Linked DNA regions of Anolis sagrei. The protein of the gene in region 2 purifies or fractionates together with the protein of the main gene of each other region. This does not show direct contact. Links are inferred from orthologs where the notes say so. Each region holds a gene or a part of one and is shown on either strand. Other genes may lie near its edges.

Evidence for each region.
Region 1: the proteins of SMAD1 (region 2) and SKI purify together in Homo sapiens (affinity purification with western blotting, with the first as the bait; 3 studies listed by BioGRID). This does not show direct contact. The link is inferred for Anolis sagrei from reciprocal best matches to the Homo sapiens genes SMAD1 and SKI.
Region 3: the proteins of SMAD1 (region 2) and RUNX2 purify together in Homo sapiens (affinity purification with western blotting; 3 studies listed by BioGRID). This does not show direct contact. The link is inferred for Anolis sagrei from reciprocal best matches to the Homo sapiens genes SMAD1 and RUNX2.

The regions. Positions count from the first base shown.
Region 1 is NC_090033.1:1,175,404-1,186,246, reverse strand, and holds the start of SKI (ski oncogene), read left to right. Parts: upstream 1-6,609; 5' UTR 6,610-6,965; coding exon 6,966-7,403; intron 7,404-10,843. UniProt on the Homo sapiens protein: May play a role in terminal differentiation of skeletal muscle cells but not in the determination of cells to the myogenic lineage. Functions as a repressor of TGF-beta signaling.
Region 2 is NC_090025.1:47,267,972-47,279,124, forward strand, and holds the start of SMAD1 (mothers against decapentaplegic homolog 1), read left to right. Parts: upstream 1-6,164; 5' UTR 6,165-6,606; intron 6,607-11,153. UniProt on the Homo sapiens protein: Transcriptional modulator that plays a role in various cellular processes, including embryonic development, cell differentiation, and tissue homeostasis.
Region 3 is NC_090021.1:148,149,343-148,159,828, forward strand, and holds the start of RUNX2 (runt-related transcription factor 2), read left to right. Parts: upstream 1-5,875; 5' UTR 5,876-6,094; intron 6,095-6,304; 5' UTR 6,305-6,369; coding exon 6,370-6,427; intron 6,428-7,658; coding exon of another isoform or gene 7,659-7,681; exon of another isoform or gene 7,682-7,721; intron 7,722-7,799; exon of another isoform or gene 7,800-7,856; intron 7,857-10,486. UniProt on the Homo sapiens protein: Transcription factor involved in osteoblastic differentiation and skeletal morphogenesis. Essential for the maturation of osteoblasts and both intramembranous and endochondral ossification.

The DNA.
Region 1 (10,843 bases), on a different chromosome or scaffold from region 2:
CCGGTATTGCACCACCTGACATCCGCCGGGAAGTAGCAGCCAATAGTGAAAGGACCAAGGCAGAGACATCTCCAGCTCATCCCCTGTTTGGGTATCAGCCAGCACGTCAACGACTTAAATCAAGACATAGTTTTCTTAGATCGACAGAGACACTCGCTGGAACACCCCAGCAAGCGAGAGTCCAAAAGTGGCAGGCCCAAACCCAGCACCTCAATTCATGGGTGATACCAGATGAGAGACTCCCCCCTGGGCACACAGAAGACTGGGCAACTTGGAAGGTGCTGAACAGACTGCGCTCTGGCACCACGAGATGCAAAGCCAATCTTAAGAAATGGGGCTACAGGGTGGAATCCTTGGCATGCGAGTGCGGAGAAGAGCAAACCACTGACCACCTGCTGCAATGCACCCTGAGCCCTGCCACATGCACAATGGAGGACCTTCTTGCGACAACCCCAGAGGCACTCCAAGTGGCCAGAGACTGGTCAAAGGACATTTAACCAACTACCAAATTTGCAAAATTTGTGTGTTTTTTTCGTTTTTCTTTTTAATCTGTGTGTTTGCTTTGCTCTGTTAGAATTGTAATACAATGGTTGCTGATGACACAATAAATAAATATAAATAAATTAGTAATATTACATGTACTATAAATATATAATTATAATATCATATGGTGATTATTAGTTTTATATTGCATTGCATTATAGTATTGTAAATAATCTGTACACAATGTGTTGTCGAAGGCTTTCACGACCGGAATCGGGTTGCTGTGAGTTTTCTGGGCTGTCTGTCCATGTTCGAGAAGCATTCTCTCCTGACCTTTTGCCCACATCTATGGCAGGCATCTCCAGAGGTGGTGAGGTCAGTTGGAAACTAGGCAAGTGAGGTTTATACATGCATGGAATGTCCAGGGTGGGAAAAAGAATGTTTCAATTGGCCGCCTTTATTAGCATTTAATGGCCTTGTAGTTTCAAAGCCTGGCTGATTGCTGCCTGGGGGAATCCTTCGTTTGGAAGTGTTAGCTGGACTTGATTGATTCTTGTCTGGAATTCCCCTGTTTTCTGAGTGTTGTTCTTTATTTACTTTCCTAATTTTAGAGGTTTTTTAAAAATACTGGTAGCTAGATTTTGTTCATTTTCATCATTTCCTCCTTTCTGTTGACATTGTCCACATGCTTGTGACACTGAAATACAGCAGCTCCTGAGCTCTGCGAGTGCAGCATTTTTCCAAATGAAGCAGAGAGTGTTTGAGGTCCAGGACATCCGTTGGGATACCAAGGGACTTGTTTATAAAGCTATTGTCCTCCCAACCCTGCTATACGCCTGCAAAACGTGGACTGTCTACATACATCACGTTCAACTCCGGTCCAGTGTACCAGTCTGAACTTATCTTCTTCTACAGCCCACCTTGGAGTTTAAGATCTTCTAGGGAGGCCCTGCTCTTGGCCCCGCCTCTGTCTGAAATACACCACCATCCTTTTTCCATGGTGAACTGGATATTCACCATGTTGAGTTCTTCTTCTCCATGGCTCCAAATAGTGAAAGTTCATCCACATATCTGAACCATATGTTTGGGTGGATGCTATTAAGATGGTCCAGGAACCTGTTGAGTTCTTCTTCTCCATGGCTCCAAATGGGGAAGGTGTCATCCACATCTCTGAACCATATGTTTGGGTGGATGCTATTAAGATGGTCCAGGAACCTGTTGAGTTCCTCTTCTCCATGACTCCAAATGGTGAAAGTGTCATCCACATCTCTGAACCATATGTTTGGGTGGATGCTATTAAGATGGTCCAGGAACCTGTTGAGTTCCTCTTCTCCATGACTCCAAATGGTGAAAGTGTCATCCACATCTCTGAACCATATGTTTGGGTGGATGCTATTAAGATGGTCCAGGAACCTGTTGAGTTCCTCTTCTCCATGACTCCAAATGGTGAAAGTGTCATCCACATCTCTGAACCATATCGTGGGCTTTTTTGTTGCTGTCTCTAGGGCTTGTTTTTCAAAGTGTTCCATGTAGAAGTTAGCTGAGAGGGCTCCCCATAGCCACTCCATCTTTCTGTTCGTAACTTCTTTGGATTGCCTTAGCTTTTGGGCCATGTTCTTGGCTTCCGGGGACTCTGTCTTGCTGTCATGGAATCTTGTTTGATCAATGTTCTTTGGATTATGCCTCAGGCTGTTTGCTATTTTGGGACTTTTGCATTTAAGACTTTTCTTTTCTTCAATAAACTACAACATCTTCAGCCTTTGTGTGGTTTGGTGTTTGGAGCAAGGTGACTCTACTCTGAGCTGCGACACATTCAGTGGTTCCCTTGATATATGGTGAGAACACTTTTCCTCTAGTTGGGCTTTTGTCTTGACTCTTGTGGCTTGTTCTTGGCCTTGCAGCTCTTCTGACGTTTGTGGTGGAGTCTCCATTGGCCTGGAGAGCCCAGTTGACGTGTAATGGTGGACCACTCTCACAACCACCATGTCAGACTACACAGAGAAGCCACTGAAATCCATAAACATGTCGATAATGTCAACAGAAACCATGAAAATGAACAAAATCTGGCTGCCAGTAGTAAAACAAATATGTCTAAAATCAGGATAGTAAACAAAGAACAACAATCAGAGTCAGCTAACACCTCTCAAAAAAGGATCCCTCCAAGAACGCTGCAATTCAATGCCATTCAATGCTCCACGAAGGCAGCAGGCAGCAATCAGCTGCAAGGCCATTCAATGCCAATTGCAACATTCACACTTGCCTCCAGCAGACAAGAGTTCTTTCTCTCACCCTGGACATTATTCCATAGATATATACACCACTCTTGGGTTTGGAGTCTAGTGTCTAGATCTAAGGAAGCCATGCTCCCCATGCTCTATTCTGCTTTGGTTAGACCACACCTGGAATATTGTGTACAATTCTGGGCACCACAATTGAAGAGAGATATTGGAATGTGTCCAGAGGAGGGCAACTCAAAGGATCAAGGGTCTGGAGAACAAGCCCTATGAGGAGCGGTTTAAAGAGCTGGGCATGTTTAGCCTGAAGAAGAGAAGGCTGAGAGGAGATATGATAGCCATGTATAAATATGTGAGAGGAAGCCACAGGGAGGAGGAGGGAGCAAGCTTGTTTTCTGCTGCCCTGGAGACTAGGACACAGTGGCTTCAAACTACGATTTGATGTTTAATTGTTGATGATGCTATTGTTTTAACTGTCCCATAATCCTTTTATGATATTTTGCATTGTATTTTTGCTGCTGTTAACCGCTTTGAGTCGCCTGAGGGCTGAGAAAAGCGGTATATAAATGAAGTAAGTAAGTAAATAAATAAATACTAGGGCTGGGCGGTTTCGTTCGTTAATTTCGTACTTTGTTAATAATTCATATTTAAATTGGTTTACGATCCGATATTGAACCATTCAGGAGCAACTAAAAATCGAAACGAATTTTTAAAATTTATTTCGTAATTGTTTCGTAATTGTTTCGTTATTATTTCCGTATGTCTGGTGCAAGTTTTATAGTTGTTGTTTGTTTTATCAGTGATAAAAAAATAAATTATTTCACCAACAGTCAACAACAGAGGGAGAGGGAAGCTTCAGAAATTCCCCCTGTCCCATTTGGAGGGTTTTTTAGCGTATTGTGCAATCGCGTCCGCCATTAACGAATCGATTCGTTATTGTTTCGAAATTGTTTCGTAATTTCCGAAATTTCGTAAATTTTGAACTTTTTTAAAGAAAAATTTCAGAATTTTTTAAAAAAACGAAATGCAACCCCCCCTAAAAACGAATCGAGTTTAGAAACAAATTTTTTCGTGGTTGCCCAGCCCTAATAAATACAAGAAAGGAGATTTCATCTGAACATGAGGAAGAACTTCCTGACTGTGAGAGCCGTTCAGCAGTGGAACTCTCTGCCCCGGAGGGAGTGTGGAGGAGGCTCCTTCTTTGGAAGCTTTGAAACGGGCTGGATGGCCATCTGTCGGGGGTGCTTTGAACGTGATTTTCCTGCTTCTTGGCAGAACGGGGTTGGACTGCATGGCCCATGAGGTCTCTTCCAATTGTATGATTCTAAGAATCTTGCCTTGCTTCCAACAAACCTCACAACCTCTGAGGATGCCTGCCATAGATGTGGACGAAGCGTCAGGAGAGAATGCTTCGGGAACATTGGACATAAAACCTGGAAAACTCACAGTAATGTTTGGATTGTTGTCGGTTTTCCGGGCTATATGGCCATGTTCCCGAAGCATTCTCTCCTGACGTTTGGCCTACATCTATGGCAGGCATCCTCAGAGGTTGTGAGGTCATGATGTTTGGTTAACTAGAAAGCAATACGCTTGATGGTCACGAGGGGGCAGACATGATCCATTTTTATATGTCTTCATTGATAATAATATCATAATATATAATCCCTATTCACAAGCCAAACTGAGAGTCTAAAGTTTCAGCCAGGTTAGATGTTTGATTTGTGAAATAGTTGACTGTGTAGTTGTTTTGAATGGGGAGGCAATCCTCAAATCTGAATTGAAAATATCTGAGCGCTTGCTAGATTATAAAACTTACAGTTTTTATATCTAGGGACGGGATTGGGTGGAGGAGGAATTCAACCTTTGGCCTTAAAACTAAAGAGAAAGGCTGAGAAAAGGAGCCTAACGCGCCCGCCCGCCCGCCTTTCCTTCCCCGGCGGAGCCTCCTGTGAACCAAAAACTTTATCAAACGTTCGAACCAGTGCGCATGCGCGCCTGTATATTGGCTTGTTGCTGAGAGTGGCGAGGAGGGAGGGAAGAGGAGGAGAGGGCGGAGCCTCACCCAGGCCCCGCCCCCTATCGGAAGAAGCCAGATTTTGGGAGGGAGGAGGAGGAGTGCAGTTAAGGCCACGCCCCCTTTCTCGTAGCGTGCACGCGCTGTCGCCCCGAGGAGAGGGAGGCGGAGGGGAGAGTTTGGAGAAAGAGGAGGAGCACAGCGCACAGGCCACGCCCTTTTCCCGTGGTGCGCACGCGCCGAGGGCTGCCCGCCGAGAGGGAGGCGGAGCATTGCCGAGGCTCCGCCCTTGCTCCGCCCTTTTATTGAGTGGGAAAGCGGCGGAACGGAGGCGGAGCGATTAACAAAGCCCCGCCCCTCAAGCCGCCAGGAGGGAAGGGGGCGGAGCACAATTCGAGACCACGCCCCCATATTTTGCTCCGCCCGCTTTTGCGTAGCGGAGGGAAAGGAGGCGGAGCGAACCTCGAAGCCCCTCCGCCATGCAAAAGGGGCGGGGCGATGGCTCAGTGACAGGGAAGGGGGAGGGAAGGGAGGCGGAGCGAACCACGAGGCCCCGCCTCCTTTTGCGAGGCCGGGTGTTTAGCGGGAAGGCGTGGCTTAACACGAGGCTCCGCCCTCCTCTCCTTTTGCTAGGCCGTGTGTTCAGAGGGAAGGCGTGGCTTAATACCAGGCCCCGCCCTCTGCCTGCCCCTTTTGCGAGGCCGGGTGTTCAGAGTGACGGAAGGCGCTCCATCTAGTAGCCCCGCCTCCTTTTGTATTAGGGAGGAGGTGGAGCGAGACAAGAGGCCACGCCCCTTACGCAAAGAGTAACAGGGAAGGCGGGGCCGAACTTGAGGCTCCGCCCCCTCCCAAAGGAGTGAGAGAGGGAAGTCTGAGGAAAGGGAGGCGGAGCGAGACAAGAGGCCACGCCCCTTACGCAAAGAGTAATAGGGAAGGCGGGGCCGAACTTGAGGCTCCGCCCCCTCCCCGAGGTGTGAGAGAGGGAAGTCGGAAGTAAGGGAGGCGGAGCGAGTCAAGAGGCCACGCCCCTTAAGTATAGAGTAACAGGGAAGGCGGGGCCGAACTTGAGGCTCCGCCCCCTCCCAGAGGAGTGAGAGAGGGAAGTCTGAGGAAAGGGAGGCGGAGCGAGACAAGAGGCCACGCCCCTTATGCAAAGAATAATAGGGAAGGCGGGGCCGAACACGAGGCTCCGCCCCCTCCCAGAGGAGTGAGAGAGGGATGTCGGAGGAAAGGGAGGCGGAGCGAGACAGGAGGCCACGCCCCTTACGCAAAGAGTAATAGGGAAGGCGGGGCCGAACTTGAGGCTCCGCCCCCTCCCCCGAGGTGTGAGAGAGGGAAGTCGGAAGTAAGGGAGGCGGAGCGAGAGAAGAGGCCTCGCCCCTTAAGTATAAGGCGGGGCCGAACACGAGGCTCCGCCCCCTCCTCGATGAGTGAGAGAAGGAAGTCGGAGGAAAGGGAGGCGGAGCGAGAGAAGAGGCCACGCCTCCTACGCACAAGGAGGCGGGGCGACGTCTCATCTTCTAAGCTGTCAAGAAGAGTAACAGGGAAGGCGGGGCCGAACACGAGGCTCCGCCCCCTCGAGCTGTGAGGGAAGGAAGTCGGAGGAAAGGGAGGCGGAGCGAGAAAAGAGGCCACGCCCCTTACGCAGGGAGTAACAGGGAAGGCGGGGCCAAGAAGAGAGAGGAGTGAGGGAGGGAAGTCGGAGGGAAGGGAGGCGGAGCGGGAGAAGAGGCCACGCCCCTTACGCAAAGAGTAACAGGGAAGGCGGGGCCAAGAAGAGAGAGAGGAGTGAGAGGGACGTTCGAGCGAAGGGAGGCGGAGCTGAGCACTAAGCCCCACCCCTTTCTTGCTCCGCGCGTGCGCAGACGCAGCGGCAGCATCTCGGCGCCGGAGCTCCCCTCAGTCTGTCCGGAGCGGGCGTCGGAGGAGGACGTGAGGCGGAGGAGAAGGAAGAGAGAGAGGGGGCGACTCTCCGTTATTTACCTCAGGATTTCCCAATTGGACCCGGCTTCTTCTTCTTCTTCTTCTTGTATTATTATTATTTTTTGAGGGGATTGTTCAATTTCGGAGTGTGCCTGGCGATGTTTTTTTCCCCGGTGAAGGCCGCGTGAGGAGAACTTGGATCATGAGAAGGAGGCGCTGAGGGTGAGGATGGTGAGGCGAGGCCGCGGCCTGTGAAGGAGTGAGTGGAGCCTCCCGCCTGGCCGGCCTTGCTCGCTGCCTCTGCCCCGAAGATGGAGGCCGTGACGCGGGGGGGCTTCCACCCTCACCCGGGCTTGCAGAAGACGCTGGAGCAGTTCCACCTCAGCTCCATGAGCTCCCTGGGCGGGCCGGCCGCCTTCTCGGCCCGCTGGGCGCAGGAGATCTACAAGGGGGGAGGCGGCGGGGGAGGCCCCGGGAAGGAGGGCGCGGAGCTGCTGGCTCCCCCTCCGCCGGCGCCGCCCTCGGGCCCCTTCTTCCTGCCCTCGGACCGCTCCACGGAGCGCTGCGAGACCGTGCTGGAGGGGGAGACCATCTCCTGCTTCGTGGTGGGCGGAGAGAAGCGCCTCTGCCTGCCCCAGATCCTCAACTCCGTCCTGAGGGACTTCTCCCTCCAGCAGATCAACGCCGTCTGCGACGAGCTCCACATCTACTGCTCCCGGTGCAACGCCGACCAGCTCGAGATCCTCAAGGTAAGGACGCGGAGAAACCTCCGCCAGGCCTGGGCCCACTTGGGCCCTCCCTCCAGGGGGTTGGGACTACAACTCCCACCATTCCTAACAGCCTACTACAACTCCCACCATTCCTAACAGCCGGGCCCTCCCTCCAGGGGGTTGGGACTACAACTCCCACCATTCCTAACAGCCTACTACAACTCCCACAATTCCTAACAGCCGGGCTCTCCCTCCAGGGGGTTGGGACTACAACTCCCACCATTCCTAACAGCCTACTACAACTCCCACCATTCCTAACAGCCGGGCCCTCCCTCCAGGGGGTTGGGACTACAACTCCCACCATTCCTAACAGCCTACTACAACTCCCACCATTCCTAACAGCCTACTACAACTCCCACCATTCCTAACAGCCGGTAGGCTGTTAGGAATGGTGGGAGTTGTAGTAGGCTGTTAGGAATGGTGGGAGTTGGAGTCCCAACCCCCTGGAGGGAGGGCCCAAGTGGGCCCAGGCCTGGCACATTGCAATATTATACATTGGATCCTTGCTACTACAATATTATCATCATTATATTGTATTATTATTACATAATAATAATTGTATTATTATATTGTATTATTAGTACTATGTTATATTATTCTTGTTATTCTTATGTTGCATTATTAGTGTTATATATCAATATTATTGTATTATTAATATGACATTATTCTTGTATTAGCATTATATTACTATAATATTTCTATTATTATATTGTAATAGTATCATGTTATTTTACTATTCATCTTAATAATACAATAATATTAATATGACATTATTCCTGTATTAACATTATAGTACTATAATATTTCTATTATTATATTGTAATAGTACCATATTATTATATTATTCATATTAATACAATAATATTAATATGACATTATTCTTATATTAGTATAATATTACTATAATATTTCTATTATTATATTGTAATAGTATCATATTATTATATTATTCATATTAATAATACAATAACATTAATATGACATTCTTGTATTAGTATAATATTACTATAATATTTCTATTATTATGTTGTAATAGTACCATATTATTATAATATGGTACTACAACATAATACAAATAATATAGTAATATAATGCTAATACAAGAATAATGTCATATTAATAATACAATAATATTAATATATAACACTAATAATACAATACAATATAATAAAATGGTACTATTACAATGTAATACTAGAAATATTATAGTAATATACAAGAATAATGTCATATTAATATTGTATTATTAATATGACATTCTTGTATTAGCATTATAGTACTATAATATTTCCATTATTATATTGTAATAGTACCATATTATTATATTATTCATTTTTTATTATATTTTGTATTGTGTTATTAGTATTATATATATTATTGTATTAGTAATATTACATTATTCTTGTATTAGCATTATATTACTATAATATTTGTATTATTCTATTGTATATTAGTACTATATTATTATATTATTCTTGCATTATTATTATATTGTATTGTTAGTATTATACGTTATTCTTCTATTAGCATTATATTATTATATTGTATTAGTATTATATATTAATATAATATATTGCTATCCTGTAATATTATTAGTAACATTGCATGTATTATACAATATATTACATTATGAGCAATGCACAATATTAGTATGCTATCTTACTATGTTTTACTATACCACTATACTGCAATTTGATTAGTAGTATTATATGTAACATAATATACAATTATTATATTGTATTATTAGGATTATATTGTATTGCATTATGATAGCATCAATATTATATGTGTGTACAATATATTATGAGCATAGCATATAATATACAGTTATTATTAATATTATATTAAATTATAGTATTATCAATATTAGATGTATATAAAATATATTATGAGCACAGCACAATATTAGTATGGTATATTACTATATTGTAATATACCACTATATGGCAATATTCTTACTAATATTGCATGTAACATATAATATACCATTATTATATTGTATTATAATTAATATTATATTATTAGCATAGCACAATATTAGTATGATATAATACTATATTGTATTTTTTCACTTTATTGCAATATAATTAGTAATATTACATGTAATGTATAATATGCAATTATTGTATTATATTATAGCACAATAAATATAAACTCTCAGTATTTTATAGTTATTATTATAAAATATATTATATCATAAGCTGTAATATATATAAGATATATGTTCTATTATTAGCATAATACAATACAGTACTGGTATATCTTACTATGGTGTACTATAAAGCAATCTTAATAATATTACATCTAACATATAATGCAATATTATTAGTAATATAATATAATGCAATATTATTAGTAATATTACGTCTAACATATAATGCTCAATTACTATATTATATATTATTATACCACAATATATATAATTCACTGGCAGTATATTATACTATTAGCATTATAGAATATATTGTGCTATATCATTAGGTGTAGTATATATAAGATATTAATAATAATATCCAACTATTATACATTATGTTGCACTATATTATTATACCACAATATATAATACACTACCAGAATATTATTCTATTAGTATAATAAAATATATTGTATTATAAGTTGTAGTATATATAAAATATGCTATTATTAGCATAGCACCATATTAGTATGATATCTTACTATATTGTACTATAGCTCTGTAGTGCAATATTATGTGTAAAATGTAATATATAATATAAAAATTATATTATTATGACACTATATATGCTATTAGTATTATAGAATATATTGTATTATATCCTAAGTTGTAGTATATATAATATATAAAAGGCATGGGCAAACTTCGGCCCTCCTTCCAGGTGTTTTGGACTTCAACTCCCAGAATTCCTTACAGCCTAACAGCCCTTTCGAACTCCCTTCCCATTGAGATGAAAACTGTCCCTTCCCTGTTATCTTTAAAGAACCGGTTGAAGACCTGCCTGTTCAAGCAAGCTTTTGACACATGAATTCAATTGCTAATGACAACAAGGTCAGTTTGCACAACAGCAACAACAACAACAACAATAAATCTATTTGCAGACTGCCCTATCTCCCCAAAGGGACTCGGGCGGTCTGCAAATAGTTTTTATTATTTCCAACATATATGGCAAACATTCAATGCCAGAAAGGAAAAACATACAAACAAATTACATCAAAACAGGCCACATCAAGCAGTATAAAAGCCACCGAACGTTAAAGTTAAACAAGAATAACTGGCAATGAAAACTCAAATGACCCATATAAACATACACGCTTAATATACATTTATCGCTAGATTAAAATTAAAATTTAAAAACTAATAGCTATTTAATGGATGAGTCTCCACAAATATTGTAATTGGTTTTAAATGTTTTTCATGCTTAATCTTTATATATTTATAAATA
Region 2 (11,153 bases):
ATAAAATAAATGTTTGCCTTTAAAAAACTAACACATTGTGAAAAGACTACCCTAGAATTCCTCTAGTGTAATGGCTTGAGTTAGAGGACTATGACTCTGGATGCAAGGGTTCAGGCCCACACTTAGCCATGGAAACCCATTGAATAACCTTGGGCAAGTCACATTTTCTCACCCAGAGGAAGGCAAAGGTAAATGCCCTCTGAACAAATCTTGCCAATAAAATCCCATGATAGTTTCACCTTATGGTCGTTGTATGTGGGAAACAACTTGAAAGCACACAACACCATCTAGCATTCCTCTCTCTCATTTAGTATTCCATGTGAAGGAATGGTAATGATGACATATGGGAAACATTCAGCCAAGTTAGTTCACACCTGCAGTCTGAATACAGCCCACACAAAGATTATCTTCTCAGTTCAGAGATAGCCCTGAGCCTGGTTGACAGATTACAGATTAAAATGAGATAAAAACATTCAGAGATAGAATTCCTATAATTGCGACTCACAGGTGGCAAAATAGCTGTCTTCTCAAAATGGTGTGCCCCGTAAGGGTAATTGGCTGGCAGTTGTTGAAGATAGGGGACTGGACTAAATAATGCAGATTTCCTTCATATTGCCACACAGGGTGAAAATAATGCAAGTTCTGGAAACCAATAAATGATGTGGAGTTAATCTTTTAAAAAATGTTCTGAGCAGATCTTAAAAAAATAAGTTTTATGAACTAAGTCTTCCACCAGGCATGTAGCCGGCAAGGGGGGGGGGGGGCTTGAGGGGCTTACTGGTACATTATTTAAACTGTTATTTTATTCATATCATGATCTGATCACCATGCTCAATATATCCCATATGCATGGGGGTATTGGGGTAACGATACAAAAGGTTTGCTAGGGTAGACCCTCTCTCACTCAGACTCAGCTGCCCCCCAAAATCAAACTCGGCCCCCGCCCCCCAAATCAAAATCCTAGCTATGGGCCTGTCTCCCACAATGCTTGTTTTCTTTGTTTTCCAAGCTCTGGTTCCAACCCGACAAAATAAGTACCTTACCTTCTTTCTCTGGGATGGGCTCTGATGTTTTGGTCTTCAGATATTGTTTTATTCATGTCAAATCACCATTTTGTGTTCCAACCGTTAAAATTTGTAAACACTGGAAGTCATGTGATGACCAGTGTAGGGTTCTGTCCCCAAAACAGTCTGGCAGCATCCTGGAAAGTTGAATTTGGTGAATGTGATGAGGTCGCAAGTCCTGTTTGGCATCATTTAAGACATATATTGGACATATGGGTTGGGGATGAAATATACTGTAACATCTGAATCCTTTTGGTTGCAGGAAACAAGTCCAAGACTTCAATTTTCTTTTATTCTTGATCTACTACTCCTTCAGTGCTATGTCATTTACAATAGATATGATTTGTAGTCTCATGGCCAACAGGACAAATAAAACATAGTACTGTACTTGATACAGTAGGTAGAAACTCTATCTTTTAATGCAGGGTCAGGACCCCTGGGGGAGTTTACGAAGGGGTGTCAGAGAAGTCACCTAAGACCATCAGAAAACACAGTTTTTCTGTTGGTTGTGGGAGTTCTGTGTGGGAAGTTTGGCCCAAATATATCATTGGTGGAGTTCAGAATGCTCTTTGATTGTAGGTGAACTATAAATCCCAGCAACTACAACTCACAAATATCAATTCTATTTTCCCCAAACACCACCAGAATTCACATTTGGGCATATTGAGTTTTCATGCCAAGTTTGGTCCAGATCTATCATTGTCTGAGTCCATAGTACTCTCTGGATGTAGGTGAACTACAAGTCCAAAACCTAACGTCAATGCCCACGAAACCCTTCCAGTATTTTCTGTTGGTCATGGGAGATTTTGTTTGCCAAGTTTGGTTCAATTTCATTTTTAGCGGGGTTCAGAATGCTCTTTGATTGTAGATGAAATATAAATCCCAGCAACTACAACTACAAATGACAAAACCAATCCCTCCCTCCAACACCACCAGTATTCAAATTTGGGCATATCGGGCATTTATGCCAAATTTAGTCCAGTGAATGAAAGCACATCCTGCATATCAAATATTTACATTATGATTCATAACACTAGCAACATTACATTTATGAAGTAGCAACAAAAATAATTTGATAGTTGGGGGTCACCACAACATGAGGAACTGTACTAAGGAGTTGTGGCATTAGGAAGGTTGAGAACCGCTGTTTTAATATAAGTGCTACATGATGAGCAGAGCAATACATCCATCATACTTTTCTCCATCAGTACATCTTTATGGAATAGTAGGAGTACCAAATACTTTTCTCCTCTGGGGCTGCTGGCTTTTAAAAGATGATAACTCTGTCCATAGCCTCCATCTCATTTGTGAAAATATACTCCATAATATATGCCTATCCTATATCCAGAATCCTCTTTGACATGTTACCATGGTCATGAAATATAAAGGGCCACTCCACACATTCTAGCAGCTGGAATGAACATCAGAGCTTCGCCAACGTTTTCTGCAACAAAACATACGTATAACATGTTTGAGAAATTTGCCCAAATATTTTTATAATGAGAATAAAGTCTGATGTTTGATGTCTACATCCTGTGAATTTTCTGCTGTAGACTAACATTATAAGATATGGAAACATTCAACAGCAACAACATGAGTTAGAGTTAGGAACAATATACAAATGTGGACTTTAACAACAAAGTGTTTCTTTCCAACTATTGGGCATTTTAGGTTTTTGGACTATTAATTTCTGAATTCTATAGCCAGGGTTAAATGAAGCATTAGTCCAACCAGAGCAGATCCAATGAAATCAATGGAACTCATGTTGCTTGCGGCTAATGTCAATACGTTTATTTTAGTTGGGACCATCATTGGATTTCGCCCATTGTCTTCATCTGTGTTGTGTGTCCATGCACATAGGCACAAGAAGAGAGTTTTATGGCACCAAGAAGACTAATACATGTATTGTGGTATAAGCTTTCACAGATTAGAAACCACTTAAAGTGCATGACTTCACACCTCGATAAAGAGCTACAATCAATAAAAGTTTCTGCCACAGTAGGAGTTTTCCAGCACCAGGAAGATGTTATTTTTGTCTGCGTATAAATAACAGCACAACCTACTGCATGCTAAACCAGAATAGAGCTCCAGTGCTGATGTGAGAATCATGTGGCCCTCCAGGTCTTGGTGAACTTTAATTCCCAATAGTCCTGGGTAGAATAGCCCATTGCAAAGAATGTTAGGAGTTGCACTTCAAAGACTTCTGGAGAGCTACAAAATACCAATTCCCTGCTCTAATAAGTTCAGTGGATTTCATTAGCCAGTGCTTAGGTCTGCACCCTAATGGAAGGAACACATCCTCTGAAATTTTATATACACCTATCTTACCATGTGATTAATTGCATCCTTAAATTCATGAATCTCATAATCAAATACACTTTATTATAAGTACTTACAGTTAGTATCAGAGTTATCGCTGGTGGGTGGGGGCACACAAAATGAGGAGACTGTCCCTTTCCAGATAAGCATTCTGGCCCTGAAATGGATTTTTCCTCCATTCCCCAAAGTTCTTGTATAATAACACTTCCACATTTTTTTACTTTTGCAGATTTGGTTACTATTATCTCTGTAGCACTCTCTAGGCCCTACAGTATGATTCTATGGGCAATTTCCCACGAAAGTTAACCATAGTGTTATACCGAAGGACTTAGAAATACATACATACACCTCCATCCTATTCCAAAAGATGTACCATAAATGGTTCTGGACCAGCTTATCTATCTGAATGTATCTCTTCTTATGAACCGTCTAGGAATTTAAGATCTTCTGGGGGAGGCCCTGCTCTCGGTCCCACCTTCTTCACAGGTTCGGTTGGAGGGGATGAGAGATAGGGCCTTCTCAGTGTCCCTCCCTAGGGACATTAGATCGGCCCCCACCCTCTTAATATTTTGTAAAAAAGTCAAAACCTGGTTTTGTGAGTAGGCTTTCTCAAATGCAGTGTAGCAGATAACTTCTTGACCTCGGAACGACTGGACAATTGTTATCAGATAACAATTTTCGTACTGAGATGCAGAAGATTTATGCTTTTATTGATTTTACTGTTTATGGAATTTTATGTATGTTATATGCTTTTAGCTGTTTTTATATTATTGTGGCATCGATTTGTGCCGTTTTGTAAACCACCCTGAGTCACCCTCAGGCTGAGAAGGGCGGTATAGAAATATAGTAAGTAAATAAATGAATAAATTCCTGTTGTTCTTCCTTGAGGATAAAGGGTGCCCAGAATGCAGTTTGACTACCACATTCACTGCCATAACTCAAAGGCTATGGTATTAGTAGTAATATTAATAGTAGTACTATTTCACTATTATCTCTTTGATGATTGTGATGCAATGCGGCTGCAATCCTGGCAGTTGTTTGGAGAGGCCCCAACTCTCTCTGGCAGAGAAGACAAGACCTTGTAAAACTCCCATGATTCTATAGCACAACTTCCGAAGATGCCTGCCATTGATGTGGATGTAACGTCAGGAGAGAATGCTTCTGGAACATGGCCATACAGCCTGGAAAATGCACAGTAATCCAACGATTCCAGCCATGAAAGCCTTCGAGAACACAATAAAGGTGATGATTATTATTTGAAACACAACAAGATTAGTACACAGCAAACAAGATCATTATGCTGGTTGTTGTATTGGATCACACGTCGGACACTTCCCAAATGTCTAGGACTGTGTGATGTATCGGCGAATAATGCATGCAGATCCCAGTAAGGTGGCCTTCTGCAGCTGGCAGATGGCAATTTTGTCAGCGCCGATTGTGTTTAAGTGCAGGCCAAGGTCTTTAGGCACTGCACCCAGTGTGCCAATCACCACTGGGACCACCTTGACTGGCTTGTGCCAGAGTCTTTGCAGTTCGATTTTTAAATCCTCATATCGTGTCAGCTTTTCCAGTTGTTTCTCTTCAATCCTGCTGTCACCTAGGATTGCAGCATCCACAATCCATACTTTGTTTTTTAACACGATTGTGAGGTCAGGAGTATTGTGCTCCAAAACTCTGTCTGTCTGAATCCGGAAGTCCCAGAGGAGTTTGGCGTGTTCATTTTCTGTAACTCTTTCCAGCTTGTGATCCCAACAGTTCTTTGTTGCAGGCAGATGGTATTTGTGGCACAAGTTCCAATAAATTCTTGCAGCAGCTGAGGATGTGATCTATTGTTTCATCTGCTTCCTTGCAGAGTCTACATTTGGGATCTGTTGTCAACTTTTCAGTTCTGGCTTTGATTGCATTATCAAACTACAAGAAAGGAGATTCCATCTGAACATGAGGAAGAACTTCCTGACTGTGAGAGCCATTCAGCAGTGGAACTCTCTGCCCCAGAGTGTGATGGAGGCTCCTTCTTTGGTGGTTTTTAAACAGAGGCTAGATGGCCATCTGTCAGGGGTGCTTTGAATGCAGTATTCCTGCTTCTTGGCAGGGGGTTGGACTGGATGGCCCATGAGGTCTCTTCCAACTATGTTCTATGATGATGTTGATGATTATTATTATTCTTATTATTGACACAAAAGCACAGTATGTCACAGCAATCGAGATCTATATTCTGGATTTCATATCACAAAATCATAAGTCAAACACTTCCCAAGCATCTAGGCATTATTATTATTATTATTATTATTATTGAGTAGCTTTGCTGCTGCAAAGTGAGGGTATCTGCATAGATGTAGCTTGGCTGTTGTTCCTGGAGGCACCCTTTGTTTAGGCGGTGTTAACTAGCCATTAGTTGTTTGTTGTCTGGAATTCCCGTTTCTGAATGGCGTTCTGTATATGCTATCTTGATTCTGGTCTTTTCGATAAAATGATCCTAGCAGTTTGGGAAAGCCCAGGCAGAGAAGACTCAAGACTTTGGTCAAACTCTCTCCACTCCATAGCATGGAGAGATGGCAGTGAAAGCGGTGTCAAAGTGCATCCATTCCCCATTGTAGACGCCCCCAAAGCCAGGCGGGCCAAAGCTATGAGGGAGTGGAAGAAACCCTACTCTCTGGGTGCTTCTCAAACGTTTTCTGACCAAATTCAATGCAAAGGGGGAAAGGAGGGAACTGGGGGGAAAGAAGGCCGTCCTTCTGAGGGGAAGAGAGGAAGCCTCCTCTTGGGTTGAGAGAGGGAAAGAGAAAGGGAAGAAAGGAGGAGGAGGAGGCGGCGTTGCCACTCGCTCAGCCCTCATCCAGCCAGCCAGCCAGCCCTGCCTTCCCAAAAAGGGTGGGCCTTTTGGAGAGGATCCCTAGCTCTCGTGTGAGTGAGTGAGTGTGTGTGTGAGTGTGTATATATGTGTGTATGTTGTGTATTGGCAGCGGGGTAAGTGGAGGCTGGGTGGCTCCGACTCTCTGACGCCAGTGAGACCAGATCAATCCAGGAACAGCAGCGGCTGAGAAGAAGAAGGAGAAGGAGAGAGGGAGAAAGCAAGCAAGCAAGCAAGCAAGAGGGAAGGCGCAAAAAGCAGCAGCAGCAACATCCAAACGGGAGAGGAAAGAAACAGCAAGGAATCTTCTTGCCAATCTTCTCTTTTAGGAGGAAATCCTTTTCCTCCTTCCCCGCCTCGACTTACACACCGGTAAGCCCCATTCTTTGCTCTTTTTTCCCCCTTCTTCCATGTGCAACCCTTCCAGTCAGTGGCTGAATCTTTTCCCTCTCCCTCTGGGCAAGTGGGGGCCTTGCCTTGGCTCTCCTTCGAGAGAAAACCGGGTTGGAAGGGGGAAAGGGGACCCTGGGTGCTTTCCCAGCCTTCATGATGGCGGCGGTGGCGTTCAAAAAGAGCCTTCAAAACTTTTCCCCTTTGTATGGAGGGCCCTTTGTGGCTCCTCAAGGGAAAAAGAAAGAAAGAAAAGGTCGCTCTCGTTGCCTTCTCTCTTCAGGGAAGGAGATGCCGGGTGCCTCCAAACAACAAGGATTCCTGGAAGAGCTGAATCTTCCACGCTGTTACAGTTACACAAAAAGTTACAAGCGGTTTCCATCTTTTTCTTGTGTGTGTGTCTTCTCTTCCTGGAGAGGGAAGGGACATCATTCCTGGGGAAGAAGGGAAAGAAAGGAAAGAAAGCGCCCTGGGAAGGAGCCCCAGAAGGCCTTCACAGAGAAGTCCCGTTTGGATGGGGGCTCTTGTTCCCCTGCGGCCTCCTTTTGTGCCCAAAGCCAAGTCTAGGGAAACTTTTCCTGCTTTCCTTTCTCCTCCCGTTTCTCTTTCCCTCGTCGCCGAAGAGAAAGCAGCCCGGCCGACACAATGGAGGGGGGCTTGTCTCTCCCTTTGGGGTTTTTGAGGCACATGAAGCCAGCCCCCACCCCCATCCTCTTCTCTTTACTTAGGGCCCTATATCCCAGGATCTGATCCCAGGTTTTCTGCTTTAAACTGGATTATATGAGTCCACACTGCCAGCTAATCTGGGATAAACAGAAAAAACTGGCATCAGATCCCAGGATATAGGATAGGGCCTATTTGGAAGGGCCCTTAGTCCAAGCTTTGGAGCCTTTTCTTTGGGGGGTCTGGGAAAATGCAAGTCTTGGGGTGCATCTCTACACTATGGAATCAGTTTATTGTCGAAGGCTTTCATGGCCAGAATCACTGGGGTTGTTGTAGGTTTTTCGGGTTGTATGGCCATGCTCTAGAAGCATTCTCTCCTGACGTTTCGCCTGCATCTGTGGCAAGCATCCTCAGAGGTTGTGGGGTTGGCGTCAGTTGTTCAGAAGGCTTTCTTTTCAGTCTTTCTCTGCTGCTGAGAGAATGTAATTTGCCCAAGAATTTCCATGATCTAGAGTGCGTCTACACTGGAATTGATGCAGTTTGGCAACAATTGTTTCAGAAGGCTTTCCTTTCAGACTTTGCTTTCTTCTTTGGCCGAGAGAATGGAACTTGCCCAAGGTTCACTCCCAAGAATTTCCATGATCTGGAGTGCATCTACACTGTGGAATGAATGCATTTCGATCCCACTTTAACCACCATGGCTCAGTGATAGGGAATTATGGAAGTTGTGGTTTCTCTATTGCAGGTATGGGCAAACCCAGGCCCAGGAGCAGGATGCTGCCCCTTGGGCTCTTTTCTCAGGTCCTCCTCTCTCTCAACATCTTATGCTCCCTTCCTTCTGACTTTCTTTCCCCCCTCCCTTCCCCCTCTTTCTTGCTCCCTTCTTCCTTCCTTTCTCCTTTCTTCTCTCTTTCTCTTTCCTTCCTTCCCTTTTGTCTTTCCTTCTCTCTTTCCTTCCCTCCATCCATTCTCTTACACCCTTTCTTCTCTTCCTTCCTTCCTTCCTTCCTTCCTTCCTTCCTTCCTTCTTTCCCTCCCTTAACTCGCTCTTTTTGGCTCCCTCCTTCCTTTCCTTCCACCCTTTCCTCTGTCCTTCCTTCCCTCTTTCCTCCCTCTCCTCTCTCTCTTCTTTCCTTCCTTCCTTCCCTCTTGTGTTTCCTTCCTTCTCTCTTTTCTCCCTCATTCCCTTCCCTCTATCCATTCTATTCCACCTTTCCTTCCTTCCATCCTTCTCTTCCTCCCTTTACCTCAATCTTTCTTACTCCCTCCTTCCTTCCTTTCCTTCCTTTCCTTGCTTCTCTTTTGTCTTTCCTTCCTTTCTTTCCTCCCTCCTTCCATTCTCTTCCACCGTTCCTTCTCCTTTTCTTTCCTCCTTTCCTCCTGGGGGATGTTTAGGTGGGAGAAGAGAGGTTGAGAGGGAACATGAGAACCATGTTTCAAGATTTCCAAGGGTGTCCCACTGAGGAGGAAGGGGAAAACTGACTTTCTGCTGTTTTAGAGACCAGGGCACAAAGGAGCAGTGGGTTCAAATGGCAGGGAAAGCTATTCGACTGAAAAGATTAGGAAGAACTTCCTAAGAGTAAGAGCTGTTGGAGAGTGGCCTAGGCTTCCTGGGAGTGTGGTGGAGTCTTCTTCTTTGGAGGCTTTTCCACAGAGGCTGTCTGTCGAGAGTGCTTTGATTGTGCCTTCCTGCATGGCAGGGGGTTGGACTGGATGGCCCTTGGGGGTCTCTTCCAACTCTAGGATTTTATATCAGGAGTAGGCAATGTGGTGTCTAATGGATACACTTTTTCTCTCCAGTCCACCATCTCATCCTCACCAAGGCCAACCCTTATGGGATCCAAGTGTTTCCCATCTTTCCTTCATGTTTTGCTTCCGAAAGCGAAGAGGAAGGGGAGGAAAGGGCAGGGAGGAAACTTGGGGAGAAGCCCTTTCGGCCCACCCACCCACCCCACTCCAGCCCACCAAAAGGCCCCCAAGTTACAAAGTTTGCCCATGCTTGATCTACACTATGTGATGCAGTTTGACATCAGTTATTCAGAATGTTTTCCTTTCAGTCTTTGCTTTTCTCTGTGGCTGAGAAATTGTAACTTGCCCAAGAATTTCCTTGATCTAGAGTGCATCTACACTGTAGAATTGATGCAGTTTGGCAACAGTTGTTCAGAAGGCTTTCCTTTTGGTCTTTGCTTTCCTCTGAGTTGCAAAGCAGAAAGGAGAGTAGTTTTCTATTCCTTTGTTAGCAGTTGATGAAGCTGCATGTGAACTTGTTTAGATTTTCATTACCTGGTCTCAATATGAATTGCTGGTTTAATTTGAGGAGTGGCTTCAGGACACAATTGATCTTTACTATGGCTAAATATACATAAAATTAAGAGACACTAATTTTTGCTATATATTTCCAGCCGCAGTTGGTGCTTCCCTAGTGACTTAAATGTAGCTGTTACCCATAGGTTAAGAGTTTCTTGCTGAAAAGGCATATTGCAAACGGGTCGGAGGATGAATCACTCTTGAATACTAATAGAAAGCTGCTCTTAATTAAACTAAATGCACATCCGGAGTTTATACTTGAATTGCAGCCTCTCATGAAAATGCAACAATCTGTTTTAAATGTTCGAAGCTGTGCCCATTTACCCCATGCCACTCTGTCTGTATTCTTGTTTAAGGATTACAGCTGAGTAAATCTGTTTACCACTTCATCACACTAGAGAGAAAAAAATCACTTAAAATCTGCCTCTACAGAATTCTGGGATTTGTAGTTTAGTGAGACTGTTAAAGGCTCCTTCCTAAACTACAAACCCCAGAATTTTGCAGGAGGCAGAAACTGGATTTTAAGTGGATTTTTTCCTCTAATGTGATGATGACACTAGAGAAAAAAAATCAACTTAAAAAGATTTCTCTCCCAGTCATTTGGCTCCTGAGAAGATCACATTCTTTCAGACACTACCTTGAGCTTATGTGTGATTGTTGTTTTTTTCCTAAGGGTATGTTGCACCTAGAAACAAACAGCAGATATCAGCTGAAGACTGAAAAAGAACTTATCAGAACTTCTGTGTTGTCTGTTCCTCAAAAGGGGTTTGAACAGCTCAGGCCCTTGATAACAACGATACCTGGACCTTCTGTTCTCAAAGCATAACTAAATGGGTTTTCAGGACATGTTAATCGGAAGCTCAAAGGACCTTACAATGTGTCCTAGCTACCTCTCAAGATAAGATCATCTTAGTTCAAGGCCAGATTGGGTTACAAGGGTACTGATTTGTCCTTGTTTTAAGTCTGATCTTTTCTTTCCCTCTCACACACAAATGTAATCAAATACAGTTCTCTTCTCTGATATCTATCTTCCTGTTTCTGAGATCACACACACACACATACATATGATCTGGTGACTTGAAATACCTTGGAAAAGCATTTAGAAAGGCAAGGACAATATAGACCAGTCTTCTCTTGGTGATCTCAGATACACTGGATTGCAATTTCTATCATCCCCAGACAGACTGAAGAATTCCAAGGTTTGCAATAATGATGGGAAGGAAAGAGTGTCTATCACATGTTTAAAGAATACTGTAGGACAGAGTTTCTCAACCTAGGGGTCAGGACCTCGGTGGGGGGCAGGCGGGATTGCGAAGGGTCATCAAAGACCATCAGAAAACACAATATTTTCTGTTGGTGGCAAGGGTTCTGTGTGGAAAGTTTGGCCCAATTCTGTTGTTTGTGGGATCTTTGATTGTAGGTGAACTATAAATCCAAGCAACTACAACTCCCAAATTTCAAGCTCTATTTTCCCCAAACTACACCAGTGTTTGCATTTGGACATATTGAGCATTCATTCCAAGTTTGGTCCAGATCCATCATTGTTTGAGTCCCCAGTG
Region 3 (10,486 bases), on a different chromosome or scaffold from region 2:
GGATAAGGGTGAATGCTTCTTGGGAAAGGACTGGAGCTTGAGTTCTCCGCCTTTCTCTTAAAGTCTGCTCTTGTATTCTGCTCAATATATGAAAGTTGAGAGTTACTTCAGCAGGCAATATTTAGTGCCCTCCATGGGTTGCTTGACTATATGAATGAAAGCTTAAGAAGATGGATTCTAAGCACTCCGCTTAATAAAGATCTTCCTACCTGACCCCCCTTCAGAAATACCTTCGCAGCTGTAAATGTAATTCAGCAAGATCTCAAAATGGAGAAGGCCTCAAGCTTTCTTCAAATAAGATACAATTCCATCCCTAATTTCCTCTTGGGAAGAGATAAACTGGATCCCCCTTTCCTGCTGCATCTGGAGATCCCTCTTGCATCTTCATAAATGTGAGAAAAATTAAATACTTCCTCAGCAAAGAGCCAGCAACATGGTTAGAGTGTGGAACTGTGACTTGAGGGATCCAGGTTCAAGTCTCTGCTATGAAATTCACCGGTAGACTTTGGATCACTCTCTACATTTCATCTTCAGTCTCTTCTCTAAAAGGCTGTGACAATAATTGGGGGGGGGGGGGAGGAGATGGGATATAAATGTAACTAAACAAAAAGGGCACCTACTGCGTTCGTATCCCAACCCCAAATGGGACCCCTTAGCTCAATGTTGGAGTCATGAAACTTTTTCAACAGTAAGTGTCTGAACGCCACACATTTACACCAATCTGTTAGCAACAAGGTGCAGCATTCACAGTGGACTTTGCCGAAAATGCTTCAACTGTACTCCACAAAAAGGAAAGTTAGCCTATTTAGCAAGTCTTGCAAATGCTGATTCATCAGCAAATCAGCTGTTGGAATTTGAGAAGACCCATCTCTCCGGATAGGCCTATCCAATCAATTTTCACTTGTCAATTTTAACCTGCATTTTACCCGTGTATATTTGTTATATGTATTTTAATAGTTTTATCATGTTGTATCCCACCTCAAGCTGTGAGAAGAAGTGGTTAATAATTATATTATTATTACATTATTATTATTATTATTATTATCATCATCATCATCATCTATTTTATAAACCTATATACCTGAGGTAACAAACATTTCCCAGGCAGAAAGTGGTTGCAAGCATGAAAAGTTGAAAAAGTTCATATATGCTGACACTGTTCCCATTATTTGAGTTGATATATGTTATCACTATTGCCATATGAATATAGAAAACAGTTCAAATTAATTAATTCACATTCTGGCAGAGGGAAAAGTTTTAATGATAATATAACAACCTTGCTATATCTACTGCATTACAAATGCAGAAGCATGTTGATGCAAAATGGTGAGATACTGTAATTATAGTATTTAGCGATGTTGTGCTAAGTATTATAGCATTTTGGAATGGTATAGAAAGCTAGTAAAAGTACAAAGGACTACAAAGGAGAGTGGCCTGCAGTTTATTTATAGAATACAGTCACATTGGTCTTAAATGGTACAATATTATTTTGCAATATTGCAATGGAGTTCAAGCTAGGACAGCAGTGGCTACCAGTTAGTTTTAAAAGGCATACTACAGACGTTTTACAGAACTACCAAAACAGAAATATTTTCTATAGGCTATTCATACAAGGTATTTTTCAGAGAAAAAATAGACTGTTTAGATCTGTTATAAAAACAAATTATTTCAACACGAATAATTTTTTGAAATGTATTATTTACATTGTACGCACTGCTTAAAAGCAAATAAATATAAACATTTAAACACCACACAAAAAGTGAGGATTACAGGTTTGCCAAAAGGATTTTGAACGTTTTGTGGTTCAGGAGGTTATATGGATTGGGGAAAATGACCTTGTTCATGATTTTATGGTAAAATAGATCCAAATGCATCAGTGATCATGCTGTTAATATAAGGTGGTGCATGGTTTGCAGGACCATTCTTTTTTAAATTATTTCCTCAATCATGTCCAAAAACATTCTTGGATCAACTAACTTAGAAAAATTGATGTTTACTTTTAGATTAAAAAGCATATTATTTTACTGACACAAAAGCACAGTATGTCACAGCAAATGAGATCTATATGCTGGATTTTGTATCAAAAAATCACAAGTCAAACAATTCCCAAATGTCTAGGACTTTGTGATGTATTTTCGAATGATGAGTGCATATTATTATTATTATTATTATTATTACTTATTTATATCCCACTTTCTCCAAATAATGGGACCCAAGGTTAACTACTTATCAAAATAATACAAGTTAAAAATAATACAAATATGTTGCTGCTACCAAACCACAATAGAGATTTCTGGACAATACTGTTGTCACATGGTAAAAAAAAGTAACTTTCAAAGTTTGCTTCAGTTTTTTTTGTTCTAAAGTTGTTGCTGCTGATGGTAGTGCAGTGCAATAAGTGATGATGGGAAAATGTGCAATGACAATTGGAACGGCTTTTTGACTATGATTTTGGATTGTGTTTTTTAATAATGTGTTTTAATTTTATATGATTTTTAAATTCATGTTTTAATGTATATATTTATTTTATGTCTGTTGTGTATATGACATCAAATTGTTGTCTTTGTAAGGCCGCTCTGAGTCCCCTTCAGGGTTGAGAAGGGTGGGGTATAAATACTGTAAATAAATAAGTACATGGTTGATAACATAAATAGAATTATCTTTACCTTCACACATATCTTTTTAAAACAAAAAGGACATATTATTACTCTATTTTTATCTTTAAAATATGTATAAGCCATTTCAAAGAAGACAAACCACAAAGCATGTTTATTTTTAAATCTGCATTACAGAACTTGTCACACCATATCTCAAAAAACAAAAACAAAGAAATAATCCCAAATAAAACTGCAAATAGGTCTAACACACAAACACACAAGCTATACAGAAGCACAAAGATTAGTGTTTATTGGCCTTAACGAATGTAATGTTCACTCATATTAGGGAAATTATTTAAATTATTTAAACATTCAAGATTTAGGTTGCTGGAAGAACTGCAGATTTCAAAAATATGTCAATATATAGCTTACAGCTTTGTTTAAGAAAAAATGTATCTTCTATTCCAAGCTTCAAAGTACCTTCCAACCGTGGTTTCCTTACCAATATTTCCAAGCAAGAAAAAACACGCTCGGAAATACGCTGATGCTCCCTAAATAAATTTATTCCATCTTATATACATTTACATATTCATTTACCTAGCAGTAAGTTACACTGAGAGCCAGCCTGATATAGTCATGTGAGCAGTGCATTGGCTTTATTTTAGAGTAGAACCATAAAGAATTTCACTGTAAGTCTCAAAATCCATCTACATAGAACCATAGAACAGGAAGAGACTTTGTGGGCCATCTAGTCCAACGTTCTGCCAAAAAGCAGGAAAATTGCATTCAAAGCACTCTCAATAGATGGCCATCCATGAGGATGGGTTTATTTCCAAGTATCATTCCTAGTATCAAACTATAACAAGTAAAAACCCAAAATTGCTGAACAAATTTTTTAAAAGCATCCAGTCCAAATGTCATGCATATTTGATAATATACTGTACATACATATGTATAATATCCAGTTTTTGATTGTATCATTCACATCTGAGCCATCATTTAAATTAGTTAAATTTAATTATGTGAATTTATAAAAAGATCCTTACTGTGGCCCTCTTGAAATGCCTGATGATTGTTAAGTGCAAGGGAGGCAACTGTTATGTAATCTAGAACAGGGCTTCATAAACTTTTTTCCACTCGTGACCCCTTTTTGGGTATATAGGTATATAAAACAGGTATATAAATCAAATATTTACTAATAATAAATCAGCATTTACAAGGCTTGCTAAACAGGCTGACTTTCCTTTTTGTGTACAGCTGAAGCATTTTCTGCAGAGTCCACTGTAAAAACTGCATGTTGTTCCTAACAGATTTGAGTAAATCAGTGGGTGGCATTCAGAAACCTTTTACTGTTTTTGTGATACCAACATCGAGCTAATGGGGTCCCATTTGGCACCCGGACCCACATTTTAGGAAGCAGTGTTAAAAAGCTGGTAACTAATGGTTCAGTTTGTGAAAACTAGTTCATCCAAACCTGCCATTAAAACTATGAAGTACAGTAGAGTTTCGCTTATCCAATCTTCGCTCATCAAACAATTTTGTATTATCCAACACAGTCTGTCTTCCGCCCAGATCCACAGCTGTTTCAATACATTGCGATGTTTTGGTGCTAAATTCATAAATGCAGTAATTACTACAGAATGTTACCATGTATTGAAAACTGTTTTTTCTGTCGATTTGTTGGAAAACATGATGTTTTGGTGATTAATTTGTGAAATCATAACATAATTTGACGTTTAATAGGCTTTTCTTTAATCCCTCCTTTTTATCCAACATTTTCGCTTATCCAACGTTCTGCCAGCCTGTTTCTGTTGGATAAGCGAGACTCTACTGCACCAGGAGTAATAGGGACAAAGATTAGATAATTTGTCAAAGATGTTTCTAAGTTCGTTCTAAACACAAATGGGCAAATAAAAAATACCACAGTAAAGTATTTCTATTCTTTCACCAACATACCCAGTGGCACAATGGGTTCAACCCTTGTGCCGGCAGAACTGCTGACCGACAGGTTGGCGGTTCGAATCCGGGGAGCAGGGGTGAGCTCCTGTCTCAGTTCTAGCTTCCCATGCGGAACATGAGAGAAGCGTCCCACAGGATGGTGAAACATCAAACATCCGGGTGTCCCCTGGGCAACATCCTTGCAGACAGCCAATTCTCTCACACCAGAAGCGGCTTGAAGTTTCTCAAATCGCTCCTGACATTTTTAAAAAAAACCTACACAATATAATTTAATTCAACTTGAGGCTTAAATCCTAGGCAGATTCACTTTTTAATGATGGGCGTGAATATAATTAAGTAGCCTTTGGTAGATAATTGCATTCTAGCCCATTTTAAGAGGCCATATAAACATACACATCAATCTGTCCAGGCAGGACAAATGAACCAGATTCGCATTCACTTTCAAAGAGAGCATTCCAATTACTTGATACTTGCTTGCCAAAATCTGCTTACAGTAAGCGCTGTTTTTTCTTCTTTTTTTTTCTATAATATACTAAGTATATAATTATTTGGCATTAATTTTAATATTAAACTCTTTCTATTCTATATCCTCCCGTTCTCCATTTTAAAATGTAGATGTTACCATATGTATATGACAAGTTTTGTACGGAACAGAAAAGGTTGACATATAATTGCACTTAATAAAGCTGCCATCTAGCCTTGGGAGCACGTAACCTAGACAGACATGATTTAAGGTTTGCAAAAGAATCCCCAGACTAACACTTTGGTGACAGCCAATTACAGACCCAAAACACAGCCTCAGTAAGCTGTCTGCTAGTAGGACTTGAGGAAAGGTAAAGTTTCTTACAATGAGTTACAGATTCACAAGCAGAGGAAGAGAAGAAAAAGAAAAACAGAAGGAATCCAGCAAATCTGAAGCAGACCCCAAGATCATGATAGAGCCCAAAGATGTAAATTACTGTAAATCATCACTGTTGTTCAGAATTTCACACAGACATTTGTGCCAATTCTGGCATGCTTCTCCACGGACACAATTGGGATGGGGGGGGGGGGGGCTAGAAAGAAGAGAAAAAGAGGCAGGGAGAGTATAAACGAAGTTCTGCTGTCCATATGCTTAAACAGCACAGGGGTTTAGGCTGTTTCAGCATTTTGTATGCCCTCCAAATCCTCATGAGTCATAAAATTTAAAAAGCTATATCCTTCTGGATACCAGGAAGGACCTTACCACGGGCCTTTTGTCAGACTTTCAAAAGGGGGAGGAAAGAAAAAGCCACAGTGCTGGGCAGTCCCACTTTACTTGACTACTATGATGTCACCAACCACATGATTCTGTCTCTCCAGTAACAGTGCTTGCAAAAAAAGGGATTTTTAAAGCTTTTGCTTTTTTGGATTGTGTGAATGCTTCATTTGCCTCACAAACAACCACAGAACCACAAGTGCGGTGCAAACTTTCTCCAAAAGGACACAGCGAGAAGCCTTTGGTTTTTAAATGGTTAATCTCAACAGGTCACCAGCAGCCACTGAGACCAACAGAGTCAGTAAGTACTCTCAAACCACAGTCTATTCAGTAATAGTAGATCTGTCTAATATTTGCTTATCCCCCCTCCTTTTTTGGAATTGTTTTGTTTCTTTGCTTTCTGTAGCATGTTACCCATCCTGCAGAATTTTTTGACACAGAAGAGAAATATATGCACCCTGGGTATGCTGTAAAAACTAAAATCAAGCTTGGCTATGGTTTGTGATTTCAGTTTAAGGCTTCAGACAGTTTTTGCACCAGAAGATAATCGCATACTGTGTGGCAGAGGGGAGAGCGATGGCATCAAACAGTCTCTTCGGCTCAGTGACACCTTGTCAACAAAACTTCTTCTGGGGTAAGTGACTGCCAAATGCTATGAAATATTGCTGATACCAATGAACTATGCATTACCTATTTCTGTTTAAACTGATACTGTTGAACATAGTGGAAATAGAACTGTGTATAACATTGTTGTTGTTTTTAAATACCCAGAATAGTACTATTTTACTATGTCTACAATTCCTTGAGCTACAGGTGTGCTCTTCATTATGCAATTCTCTGAATAATCAGGCACCTATATGGAAAACTTACGACTGCTGAAGTCAGCTTTACAAATATAGAGTTACAATGTGGGCCATCAATATTAAACCAACTGAATGAAGGCCCATCAGCTTTTTCATTTATTAAATTTATTAAAATAGGTATATCCCACGATATATTAACAAACTTCAGAGCGACAGAATTCTTCAAATTTGTATCATCACATTGCAATCAAGTCATATAGAAGACAAAATAGACGGATCAACGTAGATCCCGATATTTTGTTATAATAAGAAGGCCCCATACTCCACTGCGAACAATGCATTAGCACAGAGAAACTATCCTTCTTTCCATGTAAATAGATGTGACAAATTTCAGAATAATTTATGTTAAGGATCACAGTTGTTGGCAAATTTGTGTACCTAACCTGACTTATAATGTATCAATTCATATTCTCAATGTTATAAATGTATTTACAAATATACTAAAAGTTAAAGGAAACACATTATGCTCTTCTGAAAAGATTAACATACATACGGAGATCTTTTTTGCAAAACAGAATGATGCAGATGGATGTGATACCTCCAATGTTGCAAATGTTTTTGAAACCTTTGCCAATGCCTCTTTTAAAACAGACGGCTTATAATATCATCCTAGGATAAGACGTAAACTCAGCAAAGGCACTGAATGAATGCAGTCCACGAGGAAAGTTCCCAAGCTGTAAAGCAGCACCTCTAACAACCCTTTGATCTTGGCCATCTAGGATCTGTTTTTGAAATTATGTCAGTAACATATATTAATACCACATGAAATAAAAGACTGCCAAATTTTGTTTAAGAATACATAATACGACTAGGAGTTTTATACAGCAGGCAGCAGTGCTGAGATCTTTAGCTTCTAAAGATACAGTTGTCTAAACCCCAAAGGATTTTTGCCCAGCAGCCAGAGAGGTGTTTTTCCTTCCTTGGAAATACTACAAACATATTTTCAAAAATGTCTAAACAAGATCAACACAGAGACAGAGGGGAAAAAATCAAAACACTTACAATATTCCTTTAACGTTGTCCATCTGGTTCAAAATTATACCGAGGCTGTAAGCTAATAAATTTCCCTTTTTCTTTTAAGGGGGGGGGGGGGGCAACGGGGACCTGATTGATGCTTGAAATGCTTTCAGTGCAGGCACCCACCTTGTCTTCTCTCTTTAGCTGATGGCCGGAGTTCCTTTTACCCCTCCTACTTCACACGTTTCAACTGGCTCTTGTCGAAACATATGAATCTAGTGCAATCTGCGAGCACAATTAGATATGAAGCAAGGCTTGTACTCAGGGAACAGAGGGGCCTGTGTAATTTCTGATATCCAAAGACATTTGAATGCATTATATAGACCTCTGCCTCAAAGCTGACTTTCTGAAAGTTTGTCACACTGAGCTACACCGTAATTAGGCAACCAGCATGCTAAAATGTGGCACAGAAGGCCAAGGCTTTTTAGAATAGCAAGCATTTTTTTCAACCCAAACATCTACTTTAATGAAGCACAGCATAAAGGTAGCCAGACCACATTATTCCAGCGTTTATAACAGGAAGAACAGTTTACACGTACAGGGACTTTCTTTAACATCCAAAAAGAAATAACAAGAAGTTTAGCTGACAAAATTATATCTTGGGTTAACTGTTTAATTTTTCTCCTTTGGGTCATTCTTTAAATCACCAGAAAATGTCTAGGCCACGGAAAAAATCATCCTTCCAAATCTACCACGTTGAAATAAGACTGGCCAAGGAAATGGCCAAACAATAATAAATTTTCAGGTCAAAATATTAATAGCTCTTTACAATTTTGTGGTGGCAATATTTAGTTAAAGGTTAAAGCTGTTTGTTGTTGTTTGGTAGCTGTTTCAAAAGAGTAATATAAATATCTTAAGTCATTTACAGCTAGTATATGTCCATGAAAAGTTCTGATTCATGCCAATGGGAATGCATCAGTTGCTTTACTGTTCCATTCAGCAATCTCTTCTAATCAGCAATGGCTTCCTTGTCGGCCAAATTATCACCTGTCCATTAGAATGAAGACCATTATTGTTGGCTAGTAAATAAGCTAGTAATTTCCACCATTTATATCCAAGAGAGATTTAGGTAATCTTTTTTAAAAATCCGCATGTACTTATGGCAGCAAGTGTATTTTATATCATTTATTTGTAACTCATATTATAAATGAATGCAAATTCAGTATCTGAGGCCTTGATCTAGATTACTTATAATTTAGCCGGTTAATTTATTGTGCAGGTAAAAGCAGCAATAGCACATTTACTCTAAACATACCAAAAATATAGAAGAGGAGTTAATTTAAATGAAGAAGCCCACTATGTGCTCTTGTGCTGCCCCTATTCCTTTCAATGGACCTAGTGATGAAGATCAGGCCAGACTGAGGGCCCTTCCACACAGCTATATAACCCAGAATATCAAGGCAGAAAAATCCCACCATATTTGCTTTGAACTGGGATATCTGTGTCCACACTGCCATATATTCCAGTTCAAAGCAGATACTGTGGGATTTTATTCAGCTGTGTGGAAGAGGCCAGAGCCCATACTTTACTCCTGATCTTCCAAATGTCACACAAGGTTAAAAAAATGCATGGGTGAGATGACCAAGTCGTTCCTCTGTTTCATCTTCTTCATCTCTTGCTACTTTTAACAGAAATTGTCCAACATACCAATTGAAAAGATAGCTCACATTTCTGGGAATCCAAATATTATGGTACATTACCTAACAATGATTAGGTACCATGATTAGACAAGTCAAAATAAATCACACAATTGTTTTTTTAGATGGTGTCATGTATTGATGCACTCAATATGCTTTCCCAAATATATAAACATATGTTCTGTGAGTTATATGAGTCACTCGTGTTATTTACTCCTTTGAGAAGAGTCACAGAGCACTTAAGTAAGTACATTGCTATATTTGTATCAGAAGTTTCAGGTGCAAAATCACCTGGTAAAATATTTTGTAGCAATTTAAAATTGTGATAAGGGGAGAACATATTGAACACTTCCAATCAGAACCAAGTCTCTTTCTGCCAGAATGTTTTTACTTCACATCTTCTGAATCCACAGTCATCTCAAATACTGTATAGGCAATGAATGAACAGGTCTGCATATTGATCCCTTAAGTAATAATATTCCTCTTATTATTCAAATGTCACAATCTTATGAAAATTTGCCTAAAAAGAAAACACTTTCTAGTTAGTTGACAAGAACACTAAATATTTGACAGTTAAACACACAAGTAAGTGAAAAAAGCAAATTCATTGGAGAAGCTAAGATTTTATCAGGCATACAGGATTAATCTTTATTGAATAGCACCATTCACAAATCAAAACTTACTCGACTTCAGTACATTCAAACAGCGCTAATCAATTACAACCCTTTTCTAGTGATTCAAAATCCATGTGCTTTTAATTTTATACTCTGGTGGTCTAAACTATAGGAGCGAAGCTGAGCTTAGTCAGTCCGCATAGAAACTTTTCCTTTTTTTCCAATAAATATTCATCTAAACGTTTTCTTAGAGAAAGCTACTCATATGAAATCTGTGGTAACATTTTTATACTGTACCTCCTTGTTGAAGTAAAGGTTAGGGGTTATCAAAATACCTCAACTGTATATACAAAAAATGAGAGGAAAAGTTAAGTATTCACACACAAAAATCCAAGGGAACTATATTATTTATTTTTGCATTTCCTATGATTAATGGTGCACCAGTGCATACTTGAAAAGTGAAGTCAAAGAAGGGGTAACACCTCAAATTCTTTTATAAACTGGGCAAATGTCAAATCTGGTAGGCTGCCTTAACTAGCCTACCAGAAATATGAAATGGCCC